Saccharomyces cerevisiae S288C: one gene and its partners. The gene in region 1 interacts genetically with each later gene. Each region holds a gene or a part of one and is shown in the gene's direction. Other genes may lie near its edges.

Region 1 (4,331 bases):
CGTTCGTAGCTTTTCTATATATATTAATCAGGCCCTTATCCTTAGAGAGCTCGTTAAATAGTTTACAATTCAAAAGATCTAACTGAAACTTCCAAATGGGTAACAATTCATTCTGTAACACATTAACTAAGATCTTCATCTGTAAATCGTTCATCTGTGACTGTTGTTTACTCATAGGGATCTTGTTCAAAAATTTGTAGAGATTAACGAATCCTGATAAACAATTTTGCATTTGTAATATAAATTCATCTTTAAAATCGACATTTAATCTGTTTAATTCCTGGAAAATATACCTGTTCACTCCATAAATGGAGGTGACTAGAACCTTCTCGATCAAATGCCGGCATTTTCCAGGAGTTTCAAAGTGATCTAACTCACAACTATCCAATAATAAGCGGAATCCTGTCCTTAAATCGTAAATTAGTTCACAAATATCACTCTTTAGTGCAAGGAGTTCTTTTTTGTGTGAAATAAATGTGCCAGAATGGTTTAATACTTCGTCTTCCTGCTTTTGAGCCAGATAATACAAGACATACATTAGATCCGTCATATAATGTGAAGTATTCAGAATAAACGGCACTATTTGATTCAGCAGTATAACATTTTTCTTGTTGTTTTCGGATATTCCGTCATTGAGCAAAAGTTTGGTTTGTAAAGACGAAACTGTACTTTCATTAGATTCTCGTGTTTCACTCATACGCCTTTATATGCTATCACAGTTACCTTATTTGTCCTTTTTCTTGTAGAGCTATTCTCTATTCTGCTTTGACTTAACTAGCGTGAAATTAAAACCAACGCCGCTTATCTAATCACAATAAAAGATCAGACTGTGAAATTAATAAAAAGGAAAGGATAAAACGACAGATATCGCACTAACTTTGTTAGAAACATTATGCAGACAAAAGAAGGAGATGCATGTGCCTTTGTATTCTTTTAAACGCAAAAAGGGCAGGTCTATGATTAAGTATGAATGAGCGATATAAAATTTAAGTAGAAAAGGGAAGATAATAGTACTATATATAAATATATAAATGCATTTTTTTACATACCTGTTGGGTGAATAATTTACCTAGCTGTTGGATTTGCTGTTACTGTATTATTGTCGTCATCATTGCCATCGCCTTTATTGTTATCATTGTTATTGTCATCATTATCGTTGTCACTGTCATTAATCTGTAACTTAGACTGTATATCGTAACATTCAGACAGCCTTGTTAATGAGGTCATGCCTTCTAGGCTTTCTTGATCAATGTCCAGAGATATATTGGGTTTGTCTAATGATCCTTGATGAGATTGATGCTGCAGCTGACCTTCCCAAGGCCTAGGTCTTGGCCTCAATGAAGGAGTACTAGCTAAACCCTCATCCAGCGTAACATTGGGCACCTCCACAATATTAGGTATAGGCTTGTTATTCAGAATGTGATCCAGCAACTCTTCATAACTAAGTTCACCACCTGCTGCCATGCTTGACTCGTTATGTTCGCAATCAATTTTCAAGAGGTAAACCGAAACATGTGGAGCTCTTTTACAGGCTCCGATAATAATAAAAGAAACTTTAATAGTTGGTAAGAACTTGACAAAAAAAAACACAATATATATACATAAAAAAGTCAACAACTGACAAGCAAGGTAAAAGGTGATAAAGTTGAAAGATGACTGGCGAAGAATGGGGCTTGACTGTACTGTCATTCTTGGTAAGAGTCGGATTTTTTCTTTTTGGCATTTACCAGGACGCTAATTTCAAAGTGAGGTACACTGATATCGACTATTTTGTGTTTCATGATGCTGCTAAATATGTATACGAAGGCAAATCACCTTATGCAAGGGATACATATCGTTACACACCGCTACTAAGTTGGCTGCTAGTGCCTAATCATTATTTTGGATGGTTTCATTTGGGGAAGGTCATATTTGTTATTTTCGATTTGGTTACTGGGCTCATTATAATGAAGCTTTTGAACCAGGCCATCTCCAGAAAAAGAGCTTTAATATTGGAAAGCATTTGGCTATTGAATCCGATGGTTATCACCATCAGTACAAGGGGAAACGCTGAAAGCGTGCTTTGCTGTTTGATCATGTTCACGCTTTTTTTTCTACAAAAGAGTAGATACACCCTAGCTGGAATCTTATATGGTCTTTCTATCCATTTCAAAATATATCCAATCATATATTGTATCCCAATAGCAATTTTTATATACTACAATAAAAGAAACCAGGGTCCACGAACACAACTTACATCGCTACTCAATATCGGTTTGAGTACTCTAACAACTTTGCTTGGATGTGGTTGGGCAATGTACAAGATATACGGATACGAGTTTCTGGATCAGGCATACTTGTACCACTTATACAGAACGGATCACAGACACAATTTTTCAGTGTGGAACATGCTATTGTATTTAGATTCTGCAAATAAGGAAAATGGTGAGTCCAATCTCTCAAGGTACGCATTTGTGCCTCAATTGCTGCTTGTTTTAGTAACTGGATGTCTTGAATGGTGGAATCCCACATTCGATAACCTATTGAGGGTTTTATTTGTGCAGACGTTCGCATTTGTGACATATAATAAAGTGTGCACATCGCAATATTTTGTTTGGTACCTGATCTTTCTACCATTTTACCTCTCAAGAACGCACATTGGTTGGAAGAAGGGGCTTTTAATGGCCACGCTTTGGGTAGGAACGCAGGGAATTTGGTTAAGCCAAGGTTACTATTTGGAATTCGAAGGCAAGAATGTATTCTATCCTGGACTATTTATTGCAAGCGTGTTATTTTTCGTCACCAATGTGTGGCTACTGGGTCAATTTATTACTGATATTAAGATACCGACGCAACCCACAGTTTCCAACAAAAAGAACAACTGACTGACGTGAACTTGCACCATGTACATCAATTCTATAAATCTACTCATATAATGAATGTGTAAATATGAAAAAAAAAATGCAAAAGCGCACCACCAAAAGAGAAAAAAGCTGAAAAAAAAAAGGAAAAAGATACTTGATGTGATGTGTGAGTGAAAAAATTATTAATTCCTACTGGATAAAATCACCCCAAGGAAACAGTTCAAGAGCTAAACTAAAGAAAAGCATATTGCATAAAATGTTAAGAGAAGTCATCTATTGTGGAATTTGCTCCTACCCACCAGAGTACTGCGAGTTTTCAGGAAAATTAAAGCGTTGTAAAGTTTGGTTATCTGAAAACCACGCAGACCTTTATGCAAAGCTATACGGTACTGACGATAATACGCAAGAGGTGGAAGCCGTGACCAACAAACTGGCTGAATCCAGTATTGGCGAAGCTAGAGAGGAAAAGTTGGAAAAGGACTTGCTGAAAATTCAAAAAAAACAGGAAAACAGGGAACAAAGAGAATTAGCTAAGAAGCTGTCATCGAAAGTGATCATTAAAAGAGAAGCTAGGACCAAGAGAAAGTTTATCGTCGCTATCTCTGGGCTGGAAGTTTTCGACATCGACATGAAAAAGCTAGCCAAGACATTTGCGTCTAGGTTCGCCACAGGGTGCTCAGTCTCGAAAAATGCAGAGAAAAAAGAAGAAGTTGTCATTCAAGGTGACGTGATGGATGAAGTGGAAACTTACATACATTCCTTGCTGGAAGAAAAAGGCCTAAAGGACGTCAAAGTGGAAACCATCGATGCTAAGAAGAAGAAAAAGCCTGCTGCAGAAGGAGCTGCCAAGTAAGCAATCCATAAATATGTAATAGCACCGTTCTGGGAGAAAAGGACTTTTTACTTGGTAACCAGGCGTGTAGGTTAGATAGTCAAACCCTATATCGTTCTTGAGATCGTCGCTCATATATACTGTGCAGCCGGCCCTCGTGCGCCTGCGCCGTTCCTTCTCTGAAACCTTCGTAGTAGGACAATAAATATAGTCCCCATTGCCTATTCAAATTATTTGCAACCGAAAAACTGCAAAATTTGTTGTTGACCATAGGCGTACAAAACACAACTCAATCCAGCCGTAAGTAAGTATAGTTATGACTTCATCTCTAGATGATATAGAACCAACAGCATATAATAATATGGAAGCGGACGAGGAATATTGCAGACGCAACGATATACATGACCTTTCCAGCGTGGTCGGTGATGCTGTCTCACAAGGTGTGCCAGACATGGATGGTCAAACAACGGATTCTTCGAAGGACCCTGAGCCAAATTCCGAGGATAAGAAAGCGTTTCCTCCTTCGAGTGGCTCATTTTTTTCTCCTAATCTACAGGGTCAAAGGAAGAAAGTTCTTTTAAAGTTTGTTTTCACAAATTGCTTACTGGCCATAATTTGCTTTACAATGTTTGTGTTGTTCTGGGGGGCTCTTTACG
Region 2 (3,427 bases), on another chromosome or scaffold:
GTTCCCAAAACAGATCAATCTTATTTTGGTACGAGAAGCAGCTGTCCATCGAGCTATCTTTGTTCCATGCAGAATCAACTTCATTGATGAAATTCTCCATCGACCTCTCTTTAGCGTTCGATACCTTTAATAAGGTATCAACCATAATCTTGCACAAATGGAAGACATCATAAATGTCGGGTAGATCTTGCCATATGTACTGCCTCGTATGCTGCAGGCTAACGTGTAGGTCTTCTTCATCATTGTAACCACAGGAGAGCCTTGGTACTACGTATTTCCTGTAAATGAATGCAAATGGATCTTTTTCAAACTCATCGAAATTTTTTAGATGCTGAACCTTCTTTGATTTGGAGACTCTAAAAAGGCAATCGCCGAACATCAGATAAAATATGGTGGCACCCAATGACCAATAGTCAGCTTGGTATGTGTTATACAATGGAGCCGATGACCGATCGAAATTCTTCTTAAAACAAGAGTTACTAACGCGGCCAGAGAAAGTTTCTGGCGCCCTGTAATTATCGGTACCAATCTGGAAGTCGTTAGATTTAGGGGATTGGATAGCGTGACCCCAGTCTGCCAACTTGATGTCACCATTTATCGTTAGCAAAATATTTTCTGGTTTGATATCACGATGAGCAATACCCAAGCTGTGAGCAAAGCTGATTGCTGAGCACAGTTGTTTGATTATCTTTTGCATATCAATTTGAATCAAAGATGGAGACGACGGGCTACCTTGACTCTTAGCAATATCTAGAAAGTCATAAAGATCACCACATTCGCAGTATTCTAGCACCATGATGTAGTACGAGTCATCCGTGTAAAAGTCGAGCATCGAACAGATGTTGGGGTGAGGATTACAAGAACTCAAAATCTTCATTACATCATACTCGTTCTTCATGTTGGCTTCTGAAGTTTTGTATTTAGGAGTAATCTTTAAAGCGACGTAGCGGTTATGTGTAGTACTCCATGCTTTATAAACTGTGCTAAATGTTCCTGATTGTATAGATCTTAGTTTTGTATACATTTTTGCTTTTTATTATTCGGTATATGCTGATAATGATGTGCTTATTTAAATGATTGCGTATACGAGTGAGAATTTGATTCGGAGGGTATGAGAGTCGATCTTGAGTCCTATGTTATATGCTTTTTGTCAGTAACGGGTTATTTAATGCTAAGAATAGTTATTATAAAAGGGAAATTTTTTTGTATTAAGAATAGTCATCACTTACATGTGTATATTATATATATATATATATATGTATTGTACTCGTATTATTATTCTTTGGGGAAAGTATTAGTAGGTAGATGCAACTAAGCTCCGATTTTTCCAAAATTAAGTTGTCCCTTATTGCATGGTCCCCTTAATTATCCTTCCTTTATTGTATGTAACATGAAGCTGCATTTTTGTTCTCAGGCAGCATCATCGTTCCCTTCACCTAACCCTTCTAACTTCCTTTTACCTGTTGCAAGCTGTCTCATACCCGCGCTGAAAAGGCTGAGAACTGGGTATTGTCCCAATATTACGCTCGGCTTTTCTTTTCAAAAACTTTGTATTCCAGATACTTCCATGTGCAATTTCCCTAGTGCTCCCTGTACCAAGCCATCGGAGAGGAGATGCCTTCTAGAATTCAAAGCACGTAAGGGGTACAAAAATCGGAACGGGCCGAAGGCCGAAAAGAGACGGCCGTACGTGAGAGCACATGCAAAGTGGTGAACGGGACGTTACGGAGAATTACGGAACCTCTCAACAGAAGATGCGCCAATAGTCCTTCCGAACTAGCTCCACGGGAGGGGTATGAAGAGCAAGCTTGTTTACGCAGCCTCACCACCGCACCGAAAGACCCTCACGACAGAAATGGAGCGCCTTTAATGACGTTCGTCCGCTGCGGGCCAGAACAGCACAGTTTTGCTTCCCCGTTTCTTTTCCACTATTTCGTCACCCGCTCGAGGTGGCTCGCCCGCTCGGAGGCAAGCTGCACATTCATCGAACACGGAGAGGCACGGGCGAGAGAAAAAAAAGCCTATTGACCTAAACGGATGTCATAATGAAAAGAAGGAATCCGGTTTTCCTGGGCATGACTAAGGTAGCACGACTCAACTGGGCCAGATCGGTTGCTTCTTCCGATATACATGCATTAGATTAAGCCAAAGTAAAATCAAAAGAAAATTTAGCGGATATGAAAACCAATCTAATCTCCTCGTTTGCTTTCCGACCGCATGTAAGGTTCGGCTTTCTTGACTTCGGATATAGCTTAAAGTCGATTCTTGACGTCACTTCGCAATATCATTTCATTCCCATTAAACTGGCGTATGGACTTTGCGATCCTTTATTAATAGTTTATCCGGATCCCAGTTTTAGTTTGGCTCAAGCTGCAGGTGAAAAGAAAAAAGTCGTATTCCCTACGTATGAAGATGTTCCGAAACTACTGTTGACGTTTAAGCAGATTATGAATACGTATAGGAAGGGAAGTTTGGGACAGAGACAGAGACAGAGAGTGTACGGGCGAAATGGGAATGAATCACATTCTACGTAATTTGTCTTTGACTTTCTTAGAGATACGTATATAACTTTTTTTTCTGTGTGAAAAATAAATATTCTCTTATCCAATGTGGACAAGAGCCAAAAATACTCTGCTTTGTATATTTACTAGTTTTTTTGGCCTTTTTTTTCGCTAAACATATATATTAGTCTCGCTTAAATAATTGTGATGTTTGAAGGGAACGTGTCACGTGCTTCGTCGTTCATGCTTTGAATCCATCTAGGATACACTTACCAAAGGTAAAAATTGTTATACCGGTTACAATGCTCATGTGCAATGACATGTATGAGTGACATTTTACGCTTCTTTCGGATTCAGGTTTTAATGTTTTGGCGTTGTTCATCTTTGAGAATGGGCATGCAGCTTCCCCATCTTTGACTTCCGGGTGATGTTGGGGTAATTTTTCATCCTTTTGCTTTTCTAAATCATTTTGGTCACGTGTGCATTTTGGGGCTAGCTTGTGATTGAACAGTGATACTAAGTATAGGTAGGCTGCAGATAATGGGGCGACACCAAGTCCGCACAAAAGGTAGTTTGGTCTTTCTCCTGGTGCAGCTAGATAGTAGCTGAGTCCAAAGGCACCAGTAGCTAAACCACCTAAAACGGTGCTCCAGCATCCTAATGTGCACAAAACATTCTTCAAATGTTGAGTTAGAACATTTATTGGGGTGGTAATAGAAATCACGGTAGATGAAGTTAAAATACCGGCGTATAAACCTAATGATGAGACTGCGATACCTTTTACAATAGCTGGGGAGACTTGCATTTGTTTTTTAGTATATGTAAGGATTCTTATGAGTGTTTGTCTTAAACTTGCTTTTCGTGAGGTAAGGGTTAAAAAATCAGCTTGGATATAATTTGGAACAATAGAAACTTCTTTTCTCTCA
Region 3 (8,999 bases), on another chromosome or scaffold:
CCAGTATTGAAGCACTAAAGAAATACTGTAAAGAGCTGCATTGGGTCAATGTAGGTCCATTAAAGTATGGCACCAAACCCTTGGTCCAATTTACAGGAGATGAATTAAGTCGGCTGCGTAAAATTCGCGGGTGGAAGGACCTTGTGGAGGAATATGAAGTTGATAGCTCAAAGGGATTGAATGGCTATTTAACTGATTATGAGTCAATGTATCAAGGATACTATGGTCTGCTTAAATTTCATTCTGTCTTCGAAAGCTGAATTGATACTACGAAAAATTTTTTTTTGTTTCTCTTTCTATCTTTATTACATAAAACTTCATACACAGTTAAGATTAAAAACAACTAATAAATAATGCCTATCGCAAATTAGCTTATGAAGTCCATGGTAAATTCGTGTTTCCTGGCAATAATAGATCGTCAATTTGTTGCTTTGTGGTAGTTTTATTTTCAAATAATTGGAATACTAGGGATTTGATTTTAAGATCTTTATTCAAATTTTTTGCGCTTAACAAACAGCAGCCAGTCCCACCCAAGTCTGTTTCAAATGTCTCGTAACTAAAATCATCTTGCAATTTCTTTTTGAAGCTGTCAATTTGCTCTTGAGTAATGTCTCTTCGTAACAAAGTCAAAGAGCAACCGCCGCCACCAGCACCGGTAAGTTTTGTGGAGCCAATTCTCAAATCATCGCTCAGATTTTTAATAAGTTCTAATCCAGGATGAGAAACACCGATTGAGACAAGCAGTCCATGATTTATTCTTATCAATTCCAATAGTTGTTCATACAGTTCATTATTAGTTTCTACAGCCTCGTCATCGGTGCCTTTACATTTACTTAACTTAGTCATGATCTCTAAGCCTTGTAGGGCACATTCACCCATGGCATCTAGAATTGGCTTCATAACTTCAGGAAATTTCTCGGTGACCAACACACGAACGCGAGCAACAAGATCTTTTGTAGACCTTGGAATTCTAGTATAGGTTAGGATCATTGGAATGGCTGGGAAATCATCTAAGAACTTAAAATTGTTTGTGTTTATTGTTCCATTATGTGAGTCTTTTTCAAATAGCAGGGCATTACCATAAGTGGCCACAGCGTTATCTATTCCTGAAGGGGTACCGTGAATACACTTTTCACCTATGAAGGCCCATTGATTCACTATATGCTTATCGTTTTCTGACAGCTTTTCCAAGTCATTAGATCCTATTAACCCCCCCAAGTAGGCCATAGCTAAGGCCAGTGATACAGAAATAGAGGCGCTTGAGCCCAACCCAGCACCGATGGGTAAAGTAGACTTTAAAGAAAACTTAATATTCTTGGCATGGGGGCATAGGCAAACAAACATATACAGGAAACAAAACGCTGCATGGTAGTGGAAGGATTCGGATAGTTGAGCTAACAACGGATCCAAAAGACTAACGAGTTCCTGAGACAAGCCATCGGTGGCTTGTTGAGCCTTGGCCAATTTTTGGGAGTTTACTTGATCCTCGGTGATGGCATTGAAATCATTGATGGACCACTTATGATTAAAGCTAATGTCCGGGAAGTCCAATTCAATAGTATCTGGTGCAGATGACTCGCTTATTAGCAGGTAGGTTCTCAACGCAGACACACTAGCAGCGACGGCAGGCTTGTTGTACACAGCAGAGTGTTCACCAAAAATAATAACCTTTCCCGGTGCAGAAGTTAAGAACGGTAATGACATATTGACAGTTTTCTATACGTAGATATAAATTTGCAAGTTAGGACTAAGAAGCGCACCAGCTAACCAGGAAGTAATATCATGGCTAACTAACCTTTATAGGCATATCGTTGTATCGTTCTTCGATACCCTGTCGAAGATTTCAGTGCGACAGCCAAACGAGGCCCGAAAATTGTCAGTACAATTACAACCGATAAAATACACGTTGAGACAAAACTAGCACAAAACGCCTCTTTAAACATAAATGTGTACGCATTCTGAAAGTGAGATAGAGTACAAGGCTATCGCTAGCTTTCCACGGGAGAAGTAGTAGGAACCTCTCTTTTTATTGCTTATGACAGTAATAATAGCATCATTCATCAATGTTTCCGTTAGGGTAACTAAAATGGGTGGGCGGCAGATGACAAGAAAAGATGAATAATGAAGAATGATAAAGAAGAAGTCATCTTGGGTAGAAAGGGAAGACAATTACACACGGCCAAAGCTGGGGGGCTCGCCGGATACATTCTCACTTTTACATTACCATATTCACAATTACTTGCATTCGAATAGGACAGTACAAGCTCGCGTTATATTTGGATCCTTATCGATTCTATAATATAACGGGCAGCCAGATAGTACGGTTGAAAGGACAGCGCCCTGAATACAGAAAACGCATTTTTGCCCATTCGTATAGGCATTCATCTCGAATAGGTTTGAATTTTCCATCTAGAAGAAGGTATTCCAATTATGTGGATCGAGGCAATATTCATAAACATACTCGATTACCGCCCCAGTTCATAGGGCTAAATACTGTGGAAAGTGCCCAACCTTCAATATTAAGAGATTTTGTTGATTTACGTGGTGGACATACTGTTATTTCAAAGATCTTAATAGCAAACAATGGTATTGCTGCGGTGAAAGAAATGAGATCTATAAGAAAATGGGCGTACGAGACGTTCAATGATGAAAAAATCATTCAATTCGTGGTAATGGCGACACCTGATGATTTACACGCAAATTCGGAGTATATTAGAATGGCAGACCAATATGTGCAGGTACCAGGGGGTACCAACAACAACAATTACGCCAACATAGACTTAATACTGGACGTGGCAGAGCAAACGGATGTGGATGCGGTCTGGGCTGGATGGGGCCATGCTTCTGAAAATCCGTGTCTTCCTGAGCTGTTAGCTAGTTCACAAAGGAAAATACTATTCATTGGTCCTCCTGGACGCGCTATGAGATCATTGGGTGACAAGATTTCTTCCACTATTGTAGCACAAAGCGCTAAAATCCCGTGTATCCCTTGGTCTGGTTCACATATAGACACTATCCATATCGATAACAAGACGAACTTTGTATCTGTGCCGGATGATGTATATGTAAGGGGATGTTGTTCCTCACCTGAAGATGCTTTAGAAAAGGCTAAATTAATAGGATTTCCTGTAATGATTAAGGCATCCGAAGGTGGTGGAGGTAAGGGCATTAGGCGAGTAGATAATGAGGATGATTTTATTGCATTATATCGCCAAGCAGTGAATGAGACACCTGGGTCGCCTATGTTTGTTATGAAAGTTGTCACTGATGCTCGTCACTTAGAGGTACAGTTATTAGCTGACCAATATGGCACTAACATTACATTGTTTGGGAGAGACTGTTCCATACAAAGGCGGCACCAAAAGATTATAGAAGAGGCACCAGTGACAATAACCAAGCCTGAAACGTTTCAAAGGATGGAACGCGCAGCAATTCGTCTAGGTGAATTGGTAGGTTATGTTTCTGCGGGCACTGTCGAATACTTATATTCACCAAAAGATGATAAATTTTACTTTTTAGAACTGAATCCGAGACTACAAGTAGAGCATCCAACGACAGAAATGATATCTGGCGTAAACCTTCCTGCCACTCAACTGCAAATCGCCATGGGCATTCCTATGCACATGATAAGTGATATCAGAAAACTTTATGGTTTAGATCCAACGGGAACTTCGTATATTGATTTTAAAAATTTAAAGAGACCCTCGCCAAAAGGCCATTGTATTTCATGCAGGATCACTTCAGAAGATCCTAATGAAGGTTTCAAGCCCTCCACTGGGAAAATACATGAGCTCAATTTTCGTTCTTCTTCCAATGTTTGGGGTTACTTCTCAGTAGGAAATAATGGTGCTATTCACTCATTTTCAGATTCCCAATTTGGGCACATTTTTGCTGTAGGAAACGATAGGCAAGATGCAAAGCAAAACATGGTTTTAGCTCTAAAAGATTTTTCCATCCGAGGAGAATTCAAAACCCCCATAGAGTACCTGATAGAGCTATTAGAAACTCGGGACTTTGAGAGTAATAACATATCGACTGGTTGGTTAGATGATTTGATTTTGAAAAATTTATCTTCCGATAGCAAACTAGATCCAACGCTCGCTATTATCTGTGGTGCCGCAATGAAAGCATACGTTTTCACAGAAAAGGTGAGGAATAAGTATTTGGAATTATTGCGGAGGGGCCAAGTTCCACCTAAAGATTTTCTTAAAACGAAGTTTCCTGTTGACTTCATTTTCGATAATAATAGATACTTGTTCAATGTTGCTCAATCATCTGAAGAACAATTTATTCTTTCTATCAATAAGTCTCAATGTGAAGTTAATGTTCAAAAATTGTCCAGTGACTGCTTGTTGATCTCCGTTGACGGTAAATGCCATACAGTTTATTGGAAGGACGATATCAGAGGTACAAGACTTTCGATAGACTCCAATACCATATTTTTAGAAGCTGAACTCAATCCCACTCAAGTGATCTCTCCAACTCCGGGGAAATTGGTGAAATATTTGGTCCGAAGTGGTGATCACGTTTTTGCTGGACAGCAATATGCAGAAATAGAAATAATGAAAATGCAGATGCCACTAGTAGCGAAAAGTGATGGTGTAATTGAGTTACTAAGACAGCCCGGTTCCATAATTGAGGCTGGTGATGTCATCGCAAAATTGACTTTGGATTCGCCGTCCAAAGCTAACGAATCGTCTTTATACCGCGGAGAATTACCTGTTTTAGGTCCACCGCTAATAGAGGGTAGCCGACCAAACCATAAGCTCAGAGTCTTAATAAATAGGTTAGAAAATATTCTCAATGGATATCATGAAAACTCTGGAATAGAAACTACTCTAAAAGAGTTGATAAAAATATTGAGAGATGGTAGGCTTCCTTATTCAGAATGGGATTCCCAAATTTCTACGGTACGCAATAGACTACCAAGGCAATTGAATGAGGGGCTGGGAAATCTAGTCAAGAAATCTGTTTCTTTTCCTGCAAAGGAACTGCACAAATTAATGAAGCGCTACTTGGAAGAAAATACAAATGATCATGTAGTTTATGTTGCCTTACAGCCACTTCTTAAAATTAGTGAAAGGTATAGCGAAGGTTTAGCTAATCACGAATGTGAAATTTTTTTAAAGTTGATTAAAAAGTACTATGCTGTTGAGAAAATTTTTGAAAATCATGATATACATGAAGAAAGAAACTTACTAAATCTGCGGAGGAAAGACCTTACAAACTTGAAAAAAATTTTGTGCATAAGTTTATCGCATGCTAACGTAGTCGCAAAGAACAAGTTAGTAACTGCAATATTGCATGAATACGAGCCATTGTGCCAGGATTCCTCTAAGATGTCTTTAAAATTCAGGGCTGTTATACATGATTTGGCAAGTTTGGAATCTAAGTGGGCTAAAGAGGTTGCTGTAAAGGCAAGATCAGTGCTACTCAGAGGGATTTTCCCTCCCATAAAGAAAAGAAAAGAGCATATTAAAACTCTCCTGCAATTGCACATAAAGGATACTGGTGCCGAAAACATTCACAGCAGGAACATATATTCCTGTATGAGGGATTTTGGTAATTTAATACATTCAAATCTGATACAACTTCAGGATTTGTTCTTTTTTTTTGGCCATCAAGATACGGCTCTTTCCAGTATAGCATCTGAAATTTATGCAAGGTATGCCTACGGCAATTATCAATTAAAAAGTATTAAGATTCATAAAGGAGCGCCTGATTTACTAATGTCATGGCAATTCAGCTCATTAAGAAATTATTTAGTCAATTCTGATGGTGAGAGTGATGAGTTTACAAAACTTTCTAAACCTCCCTCAACATCAGGTAAGAGCTCAGCAAATAGTTTTGGTCTTCTTGTCAACATGCGTGCGCTTGAATCTCTGGAAAAGACATTAGACGAGGTATACGAACAAATTCATATTCCTGAGGAAAGACTTTCCAGCGGAGAGAACTCTCTTATTGTTAATATTTTATCTCCTATTCGTTACAGAAGTGAAAATGATCTAATTAAAACTTTAAAAATTAAACTTCATGAAAATGAGAGAGGTCTATCCAAGCTCAAGGTTAATCGTATTACATTTGCATTTATCGCCGCGAATGCGCCCGCTGTTAAATTTTACTCCTTTGATGGAACTACGTACGATGAAATCTCTCAAATAAGAAATATGGATCCATCCTATGAAGCACCGTTAGAGTTAGGAAAAATGTCGAACTATAAAATCAGATCACTACCTACATACGATAGTAGTATACGCATTTTTGAAGGTATTAGCAAATTTACGCCGCTAGATAAAAGGTTCTTTGTCAGGAAAATCATAAATTCCTTCATGTATAATGATCAAAAAACAACCGAAGAAAACTTGAAAGCGGAAATCAATGCTCAAGTGGTTTATATGTTAGAACATCTAGGAGCAGTTGACATCTCAAATTCAGACTTGAATCATATTTTTTTAAGTTTCAATACAGTTCTTAACATACCAGTACATCGTCTCGAGGAAATTGTGAGTACAATTCTAAAGACTCACGAAACCAGATTGTTTCAAGAAAGAATCACAGATGTAGAAATTTGCATCTCTGTTGAGTGCCTAGAAACAAAGAAGCCAGCCCCGCTTAGATTACTTATTTCTAATAAATCTGGGTATGTGGTAAAAATTGAGACATATTACGAAAAGATAGGGAAAAATGGGAATCTGATTTTGGAACCGTGTAGTGAGCAGAGCCATTATAGCCAGAAATCTCTCTCTCTTCCTTACTCGGTCAAGGATTGGCTACAACCTAAAAGGTACAAAGCTCAATTCATGGGTACAACATATGTGTACGATTTCCCAGGTCTGTTTCATCAAGCTGCAATCCAACAGTGGAAAAGGTATTTTCCAAAACATAAGCTGAATGACAGTTTTTTTAGTTGGGTTGAATTGATAGAACAAAACGGTAATTTAATAAAAGTAAACAGGGAGCCAGGCCTTAATAATATAGGGATGGTTGCTTTTGAGATTATGGTTCAGACACCTGAATATCCTGAAGGGCGTAACATGATCGTGATTTCTAATGATATTACCTACAATATTGGATCTTTTGGACCGAGAGAAGATTTGTTTTTTGATAGGGTCACAAATTATGCAAGAGAGAGAGGGATCCCGAGGATATACTTGGCGGCGAATTCAGGAGCTAAATTGGGTATAGCCGAAGAGCTGATCCCTCTATTTCGTGTAGCATGGAATGACCCCTCTGATCCAACAAAGGGTTTCCAGTACTTATACTTAGCTCCAAAAGACATGCAGCTACTGAAAGATTCTGGGAAAGGAAATTCGGTTGTTGTTGAACACAAGATGGTATACGGTGAAGAGAGATATATTATTAAAGCAATAGTCGGATTCGAAGAGGGTTTAGGTGTTGAATGTTTACAGGGCTCGGGTTTAATTGCTGGTGCCACTTCGAAAGCGTATAGAGACATTTTCACTATTACTGCTGTTACTTGTCGGTCCGTTGGTATAGGTTCCTATCTGGTCAGACTAGGACAACGTACTATTCAGGTGGAGGATAAGCCTATCATACTGACGGGTGCATCGGCGATTAATAAAGTTTTGGGTACCGATATCTATACATCTAACCTACAAATTGGCGGAACCCAAATCATGTATAAAAACGGAATAGCGCATTTAACAGCCAGTAATGATATGAAAGCCATCGAAAAAATAATGACATGGTTATCATATGTCCCGGCGAAAAGAGATATGAGTCCTCCACTTCTTGAAACTATGGATAGATGGGATAGGGATGTAGACTTCAAACCTGCCAAGCAAGTGCCATATGAGGCAAGGTGGTTGATAGAGGGTAAATGGGACTCAAATAACAACTTCCAGTCAGGCCTATTTGATAAGGATTCGTTTTTTGAGACATTATCTGGATGGGCCAAAGGTGTAATAGTTGGAAGAGCACGTCTTGGAGGTATTCCCGTGGGTGTTATTGCGGTAGAAACTAAGACTATCGAAGAAATAATCCCCGCTGACCCAGCTAATCTGGATTCTTCAGAGTTTTCCGTTAAAGAAGCAGGACAGGTGTGGTATCCAAATTCCGCGTTCAAAACAGCTCAAACTATAAATGATTTTAACTATGGTGAGCAATTACCATTGATTATCTTAGCCAATTGGAGGGGATTTTCTGGCGGTCAAAGGGATATGTACAATGAAGTACTAAAGTACGGGTCTTTTATTGTTGACGCTCTGGTTGACTACAAACAACCCATACTGATATACATTCCGCCCTTTGGTGAATTAAGGGGCGGATCATGGGTTGTTATAGATCCAACTATTAATCCTGAACAAATGGAAATGTATGCCGATGTTGAATCTAGGGGAGGTGTGTTAGAACCTGACGGAGTAGTTAGCATAAAATACCGTAAGGAGAAAATGATAGAGACGATGATTCGATTAGACTCCACATATGGACATTTGAGAAGAACGTTGACAGAAAAAAAGTTATCTTTGGAAAAACAAAATGATCTTACGAAGAGATTGAAAATAAGAGAGAGACAGTTGATACCAATTTACAATCAAATCAGCATACAGTTTGCAGATTTACATGATAGATCGACTAGGATGCTAGTTAAAGGAGTAATCCGAAATGAGTTGGAATGGAAAAAGTCACGCAGATTTTTATATTGGAGACTGAGAAGGAGGTTGAACGAGGGACAAGTGATCAAAAGACTGCAAAAAAAAACATGTGATAACAAAACGAAAATGAAGTACGACGACCTGTTGAAAATAGTTCAGTCATGGTATAACGATCTGGATGTTAATGATGACAGAGCAGTAGTGGAGTTCATAGAAAGAAATTCGAAAAAAATTGACAAGAACATTGAAGAGTTTGAGATCTCGCTGTTGATCGATGAGCTTAAGAAAAAATTTGAAGACAGAAGGGGAAACATTGTCCTTGAAGAGCTAACTAGGTTGGTGGACAGTAAGCGAAAGAGATAGTTTCGGTATAGGAACAAGTAA

What was found. Genes that interact genetically often act in the same process or in processes that back each other up.
Region 2: mutations in GPI14 (region 1) and YGR050C together harm fitness more than expected from each alone (negative genetic interaction), as found in Saccharomyces cerevisiae (one large-scale study listed by BioGRID).
Region 3: mutations in GPI14 (region 1) and HFA1 together harm fitness more than expected from each alone (negative genetic interaction), as found in Saccharomyces cerevisiae (one large-scale study listed by BioGRID).

What each region holds. Positions count from the first base shown.
Region 1 is NC_001142.9:458,730-463,060, forward strand, and holds GPI14 (glycosylphosphatidylinositol-alpha 1,4 mannosyltransferase I), read left to right. Parts: upstream 1-1,652; coding exon 1,653-2,864; downstream 2,865-4,331. Other genes in the region: CAL4 (Cal4p), read right to left, coding at 1-697; YJR012C (uncharacterized protein), read right to left, coding at 1,066-1,464; TMA22 (Tma22p), read left to right, coding at 3,100-3,696; YJR015W (uncharacterized protein), read left to right, coding at 3,992-4,331. UniProt on the Saccharomyces cerevisiae protein: Mannosyltransferase involved in glycosylphosphatidylinositol-anchor biosynthesis. Transfers the first alpha-1,4-mannose to GlcN-acyl-PI during GPI precursor assembly. Required for cell wall integrity.
Region 2 is NC_001139.9:591,193-594,619, reverse strand, and holds YGR050C (uncharacterized protein), read left to right. Parts: upstream 1-2,177; coding exon 2,178-2,534; downstream 2,535-3,427. Other genes in the region: protein kinase FMP48, read right to left, coding at 1-1,024; SCM4 (Scm4p), read right to left, coding at 2,743-3,306.
Region 3 is NC_001145.3:677,172-686,170, reverse strand, and holds HFA1 (acetyl-CoA carboxylase HFA1), read left to right. Parts: upstream 1-2,606; coding exon 2,607-8,978; downstream 8,979-8,999. Other genes in the region: YMR209C (uncharacterized protein), read left to right, coding at 1-260; ERG12 (mevalonate kinase), read right to left, coding at 373-1,704. UniProt on the Saccharomyces cerevisiae protein: Catalyzes the rate-limiting reaction in the mitochondrial fatty acid synthesis (FAS) type II pathway. Responsible for the production of the mitochondrial malonyl-CoA, used for the biosynthesis of the cofactor lipoic acid.